Bombyx mori: one gene and its partner. Each later gene encodes a partner of the first gene's protein in a complex. Links are inferred from orthologs where the notes say so. Each region holds a gene or a part of one and is shown on either strand. Other genes may lie near its edges.

Region 1 (3,657 bases):
ACTTATTTGGACAAATATGGCAACATTGTGTTTAGGCAAACGGCTTAAAAAGCTGCTCATGTAATCTTGACCCTCCAAGTTTAGGATTACACATTGTCACCTCCGTGCCATGCTAACGACGCAAGCTGCGAGCCGCATGCCCGACGACAATCGTACATTACCAGACAGGCAGGTCGGTTGTGCCTCCCGGCTATTTCTTGAAACGGGTGACGATGTCCGCATTGTGTAGTCTGTGGACTCCAGTAAACTATGCCTACTACTAACTAGCTATGACATGTCCTTCTTCAAACGAAGCTTGTGGAGAGTATTAAGCGGTAGGCAGCCGCTTGGCTCTGCCCCTGGCATTGCTGAAGTCCATGGGCGACAGTAACCATTCACCATCAGGTGGGCCGTATGCTCGTCTACCTACAAGGACAATAAAAAAAAATCGATTCAGAACAGATAGACCGTGAGATCGTTCCATCTAACTAATAAAAAAAACGTCAGATCTCCTTGTGGATAGGATCACTCGAATGCGGGATTTGTCAATGCAAACGAGGATACGGATGAGTTGGAGATCCGAAAGTACAACGCGCCTGTAGTAGCTCCAGGAAGCTGCGTTGGCTTGCCGCAGACGAATAGTCCTGACCCTGTGTTGCAGGTCTGGTTGATGCCCATTACGGGCCCCAGCGGCTTCCACTACACCCACATCCTCAAGACTGGACTGGTCGGGAGATTCGCTGTCAATGTGGTCGATGACTTGGTCGTAGTGCACCACCAGGTACATTTCCAGAGTTTTCGTTCAGCTATTCTCAAGTTGTGTTAAGAAATATGATTTGTCTAATTTCGCTCTGATAAAGCCTCTCGCTCAGCTCAGCTGTCTCGCAAAGCTGTGATAATCGTTCGATAATATATTATATATATAACTTTGTTTTCTGTTAGCAAAGATTCTAATTTTTATAAAAGCAGTAAACATATTTAAACATTTTTACTGATGGTAGGGTGACTTATGAGCCCGCACGGGTAGGTACTACCGCCCTGGCTATTTCTGCCATGAAGCAGTTATGTGTTTCGGTTAGAACGGTGGGGCAACCGTTTTGCTATAAAACGATGATCTTAGAACTCATGTCTCAATATGGCAGCACTTAGGTTGTTGATGTCTATGGGCTCTGGTAACCACTTAACACCAGATTGGCTGTGTGCTCTAAGTAATAAAAAAACGCTACTATACTACGCCAAATGAATAATTTCAATAGAATATCCTATTTTATCTATTAACGTCAGCTACAGCTTGCCTAGGTCACCAAAATCTCTCTTCCTCCGTCGTACTGAACTTCTGAACTGAACTGAACTGTTCATTAACATTTACCAAGTGGCCTCACGATTCCTTGCAGTCGACACAAACCTCACAAGTGTTCGACATAATGGAAGAGTCGAAGGTAGAGAACAGTATCGCCGTTCACATCCCGCTGGTGGCAGGAGCCAGCATGCGACCGGCCCTCGTGGAGGGGCAGCCGTGTTCCATGTGTATCCTTTGTTTAAATAATAAAACACGACAAGCCTAAAGCAAATCCATTTGGGATCAAGAAAACTTGGCATGAAAATTAGCCCTCGGGCATGAAATTTAAATATACCTAACCGTTCTCTACTTTCCCTGTTAAATTTAATTTTATATGAAAACGACAAGAGAAAGTTATTTCACCGAGTGGGGGTCGTTGCCTAGTGACCGACGGTCCTTATGTAGTTGTTCGGTACCGGCAAACTTGTACTAAATAACGTTAGCGCCATTCAGTTTCTTCTCAGTTTTCTTCTGTTCTGTTATATTTACCGTTACGCGATCAAGATCATCGTTTAAATCTATAATATATTCCTTATCTGTCAACTCTTGGCCCATCAGGTGCAAAGATAATAATTAATATGCTATTTGAAATACGTAGGGTATTTGGAAATTGTTCCCTCGTAGCCTCCAAATTAAAACGCTCTTTTTGGACACTGGTCCCTCAACTGGCATTGGGAGAGCCTCGGTACCGTCAGCACGTAAATTCCTTACACAGAGTGTTCAGATTCGGGCACGTGGGTGGTGTTCCAACCCGACTACATCATAGACGCCAGGCTCGGCTGTCTGTGGCAGGTCCAGCTGCTGCCAGCGGGGCTAGCGCACTCGGTGAGTCGCCAAACCGTTTATTACTTATACTCTTACTGGTGGTAGGGCCTCTTGTGAGTCCGTACGGGTAGGTACCACTACCCTGCCTATTTCTGCCGTGAAGCAGTAATGCGTTTCCGTTGGTAAGATGGGGCAGCCGTTGTAACTATACTGACATCTTAGAATTTATAACTCATGGTAGGTGGCGGCATTAACGTTGTAGATGTCTATGGGCTCCGGTAACCGCTTAACACCAGGCGGGCCGTGAGCTCGTCCACCCACATAAGCAATAAAAAAATTAAATATTTCACTTAAACTTCACAAAATAAAAAGAACCATCGAAAATGTTCGAGAACTCTGTAAAATGCCTTGAAGATTTTTATACTTTACTAGCTGATCCGGCAGACTTCGTAGTGCCTCAATCGATAAATAAAAGACCTAAACTTTTATATAAAATAAACTTAAAACAAACAAATGGAATCCATCCGACGGGGGACACATCAAAGGAAAAATAAAATTGTTATTTTTATTTAATTCCGAGCATGTTCATATTTACCTACCTTTTAAACCTTCTCTGGATTTCCACAAATAATTCAAGACCAAAATTAGCCAAATCGGTCCAGCCGTTCTCGAGTTTTAGCGAGACTAATGAACAGCAATTCATTTTTATAAATATAGACTAAATATATTTCGAAAGTAATTTAAATCTTACGCTCTGAGCGGGAAGCAGAGCTCGGGAAATCTTATTTGCTCTTACATGACGGTGGGAGGAAAAAACTCCAAAATCTTCCTAACACAATTATTGAATGGCGCGTTCCATCCTGTACGCCGGATGCTCAAGTTTTGCTGCTGTTCCTTCAAAAGTCATTTGAAAAATAAAATAACAGGTGCCAAAAGACGAGATATCGAAGATAGTGGCCGCGCTGCTCCGTCGGACGGACGGCAGGGACACCATCTACAGGATCCTCCACCAGCTGATCAGCGACGCGGGAGTCTACCTGGTGGAGCTGTCTAAGGTCTTTGACGAAATCAATTCTGTTTACAGGTGGGTACTTTGAAATACTTCGATAAAACACAAGATTAAATTATCTAATGTTGTTTATTGAAATTTTTTTGGTACTTGAGGGCCGTAGCATCGTCTTGCCTAGTTATGCCGCCGAGCAGTTAGGCGTTCCCACCTGAAGGATGGGCCGGCTGACTCACAGGCCTCGGGATCTAGAACTGGAGGGGCACTCGTGTCGTGATGCTCATAGGCTCCGATAACCACTTAATATCTGCTGGGATGTGGGCTCGTCTGACTATCTAGAGCAGCCTTTCCCAAAGTGGGCGATAGCGCCTCCTTGTGGGCGCTGCAGGTCTAAAGGGGGGCGGTAAGAGACCCAGAAAAAAAAAGAGTTTTCATCTAGCAGGACTCTTAGACACCAACTGAGCTCTCGCTATAATGGTTGTATGTAGGTGAAAAAATGACGGCGCAAAAAAATTATTTAACCCCTAAGTGGGCAGTAGAAAAAATAAGTTTGGGAACCCCTGATCTA
Region 2 (3,657 bases), on another chromosome or scaffold:
GGCGCGTGAAATCGACTTCATCCGGCACGAAGACTGGCCCTCCTCCAGTCCAGATTTGAATCCGTTAGATTACAAGATATGGCAACACTTGGAGGAAAAGGCGTGCTCAAAGCCTCATCCCAATTTGGATCACTCAAGACATCCTTGATTAAGGCAGCCGCCGATATTGACATGGACCTCGTTCGTGCTGCGATAGACGACTGGCCTCGCAGATTGAAGGCCTGTATTCAAAATCACGGAGGTCATTTTGAATAAACTTTAGTGTCATAAGAATCTATGTTTTGTTAAGTTCATTTTGGTATATGAATGGTTACATAATGAATAAACTTGTTTCAATTATTTTACATTAAACATGTGACAGAATTTATGACCTGACTAGGTATTATCATCCATCAGCGACGGTCTATCCATATATAAAATAAAAATAAAAAGACTTACCCAAGACAATATTGTGTCTTGTGAACTCGATCTGAATATAAGCTTAGCAGGCGTCGCGACACAATGTATCTGATTACAAAACTTCCGATAGTTTCTAACATAATCGATATCCGACAACTTTGTTATTTTCTTATCGACTATATCGCCCCCTTCTTTGTGCCTTAATCGATAATCTTGTAATCGATCTAAACTAATCGGATCCGACGAGAACAGCTGCGCTGTTGATTTACATTTATACATAAAATGCCTTATTTCCGGTATGCCGATGTGCTTGAGGGGTTTCGTTGTGGACAACTCTTCGTTACGGTTTAAAGCATTGTTAATGGCAACTAAACAGTTTGCCCGTCTCATTTTCTCGGCTATTGTGTGTTTGGCTTGGGATAAAGTTGTAAATGCATCCCTTTGTACGGTCAGTAGAAGTAGACAGGCCTGGCAGTCCTCTGATATGTAAGACACGTGGCCGTGCAGGAAGCCCCTGAAATTTTATACAACACTTAAATGGAAGGAAAAAAAATCACAATGGAACTCGTATGCATGCAATGAAACATAGTTAGGAATACAGAGTCAATGCTCTGACGGTATTTTTTATTGCAGAAATTACCCATCTGTTCATTTTTTTCCTACCTAAGCTGATGGTCTAGGGAGATCATGTCAGCGTCACCAGGCTAGGCTGTTTATTGATGACTTGAGTATGGACATTAAAATGCTCTTTTTTTTTCTTTTTTTATTGCCTCTGTAGGCAGATGAGCATACGGCCCACCTGATGGTGAGTGGTTACCGTCGCCCATGGACTTCAGCAATGCCAGGGGCAGAGCCAAGCCGCTGCCTACCGTTAAATACTCATACCACTACTCACCTGGGACATAAGGTCGAAATCAATTTTATTGTATAAGAGCTATGCTATTATTAGAACCGGAATGCATGACTACTTTTCAGAAGAATTATGTATCAGGATATGACTTCATTGACTGTTTTATCTTTTAAGTACTTTTTTTGTTTCTTGTTCGCTAACATGAAATAATAATAATAATAATTTCTTTATTTACTACATAAACTCTTAAATCATGACCTAGAATACTATTTACATATTTAACGAATTGAGGGATTAGGCAGATGGTATCAACAATATAATATTAACCAATGATCTTCACACTAGGCATAGCCTGTATCATGAGGAACTTACGATACAGGCTATGCCTAGTATCCAACATATAATATTTTATACTAGAAGTCCCGCAGTAGTCGAAATTCGACTATAATTAATTGGAATTGTAAGTTTGTACACTATTATGATTGTATTTTATACTTCTATAATCACAAATTTCGCCAAGACTACACTAAAAAAGTATTAACAAAGACAAACAATATTTAATCTATTCTCAATTTGACAACAGAAGTCAAGAACAAAAGTTTGACAATAAATAGTATGGATACGTGTGTGTGTCAAATACACGGTATGTAGTGTGTGTAATGTTTTCTTTATTGATTTAATGTATCTTTTATGCATTATTTTAAAAAAATATTAGCATTGTGCACTTCTTCTCTATTCTCTGTAAGTTTGGAAAATTTCATACTCCTCCGTCCCCGCGTCGTAAAAAGGGATACAAAGTTTTTGCTTCACGTATTAATATATAGATAATATATTTAAGTTATTCATATAAAACACAAACTCACGTTGCATCAAACTTGGGAAGGCATATTGGCGTCCAGCTCTCGGCCGTTTTGAATGACTCCGAACTCCTTATTAAATTGAAAAGCAAATGTATATCCGAAGGGTGCAGGGTGTATTTTTTCATTCTCACTAATGTTATCAGTTGATTCCCAGCTATCATTATAGCGAAGACGAGATCACGAATCTTGTGGCACGTGGTTGTTATTGCATTCGTGATATTCTCTCTGGCTTTTTCTGGTAAAGGAAGGCATCGGACTGCACCTGAGAAAAATTAAGTACTTTTTGAAGTGAAAACTTCTTTAGAATCGTTGTGATTTCAAACCGGATGCAACGGAAAAAACGACAGGTAAGAGACACAAATACAAAAATGTGTAGGATGAAGCCAGCAAAGAATGAGACAGAAATATACATACTATTTAATACAGCGCCATCTGTGAGATTTTTTAATACTAATGTGTGTATGAAAGCTCTTGTAGTGAATTTTAATTTAGGATTATACGTGAAATTAAAATATCAATTCACAGAAGGCGCTACCTTACAATTATTTACTAATGACAAAATTTTACATATACTTAAGACGTTTAAGAATAATTGTATTTTAATTTTGGAAGGTTTCACTTCTACCACGTGTGAATTGCACACATTTTGTTTTTTTTTAATTCACTAGAATAATTCGATAAAAATCGTGAATGAATAACTAGAGAGAACATAAAAGTCTCCATTATAATACAATGTATGATTGCTGCTTGTGGAAGGAGACAAAACATAAGAGACAACTTGTGCCACCTTGCAACATACCTAAAACTAATACACAAAACAAGCATCTGGGAGGATAAGATAATTATATGAGATTATAATTACACAGTTTCTTATACCGATAACACAGTTGAAAATATTATCTTGCATATTTTTTTACATTGCATATAATAACCGGCAAACTTCTTGAGCATTTGTTGACGTAGTGGGGGTAAGTTTGCGCATGGTACACTCACGTGCAAAAACATTACTTACTCTGCGTCATAATGCTATTAAATTATTAAAATCAACATATGTATTTATTTATATATTTATTAGAACATCAACAAAACATATAGGTTAATAATTGTAATAATTTAATCTTGCGATAAAATAGATATTCCTTCTATTAAGTCAAAACTAGAGCTGTTGCCAGGTCTTGGTTCAGTTGAAGCGAAGCTGGTATTTGTATATTTTTTTTCGTTATCATAATCTTGACCATCATCATCATCACTGTTTTCATCACCCGAGTCGCTATCATCGTGATGAGTCGACATAGGGCTCATCGGCGTAGTTTACAACTCGGTCGATTCGGTCTTCTTTTTTGTCTATAATTAATTATTTTTTGAAGATATTCGATTCGTAGTAATCGAATGTTACTTTTTTCATTTACCAGCTTCCGATTATTTTCTGTTCTTTTTTTCCATCTGAAGCCTAGCTCTTTCATAATTCGTCGTAAGCTTCATTCCGAGCCATTAAAATTTATATCTTCTTTAAATGTTTCGAAGCCTTTCTACGGTACGGAGTTTCGC

The links. Proteins that work in one complex are often made in the same cells at the same time.
Region 2: the proteins of regulator of MON1-CCZ1 complex (region 1) and protein SAND are in contact, whole or in part, in a cryo-EM structure (PDB 8JBE), measured with the Drosophila melanogaster proteins. The link is inferred for Bombyx mori from reciprocal best matches to the Drosophila melanogaster genes Bulli and Mon1. Residues at the interface, in NP_648047.2 of Drosophila melanogaster: Ile561, Arg565, Lys568, Asp590, Leu592, His595, Ser596, Arg599, Phe600, Met603, Phe631, Pro632; in NP_608868.1 of Drosophila melanogaster: Pro416, Glu417, Arg419, His438, Pro439, Glu445, Arg448, Met473, Lys474, Glu475, Arg476, Glu494, Pro495, Val496.

Annotation. Positions count from the first base shown.
Region 1 is NC_085117.1:6,356,944-6,360,600, reverse strand, and holds part of regulator of MON1-CCZ1 complex, read left to right. Parts: intron 1-640; coding exon 641-760; intron 761-1,373; coding exon 1,374-1,506; intron 1,507-2,042; coding exon 2,043-2,143; intron 2,144-3,009; coding exon 3,010-3,167; intron 3,168-3,657. UniProt on the Drosophila melanogaster protein: Positive regulator of the Rab7 guanyl-nucleotide exchange activity of the Mon1-Ccz1 complex, possibly by enhancing its endosomal membrane association.
Region 2 is NC_085134.1:3,996,662-4,000,318, reverse strand, and holds part of protein SAND, read right to left. Parts: intron 2,372-3,657; coding exon 2,113-2,371; intron 914-2,112; coding exon 439-913; intron 1-438. UniProt on the Drosophila melanogaster protein: Part of the Mon1-Ccz1 guanyl-nucleotide exchange factor complex specific for Rab7 that promotes the exchange of GDP to GTP, converting Rab7 from an inactive GDP-bound form into an active GTP-bound form.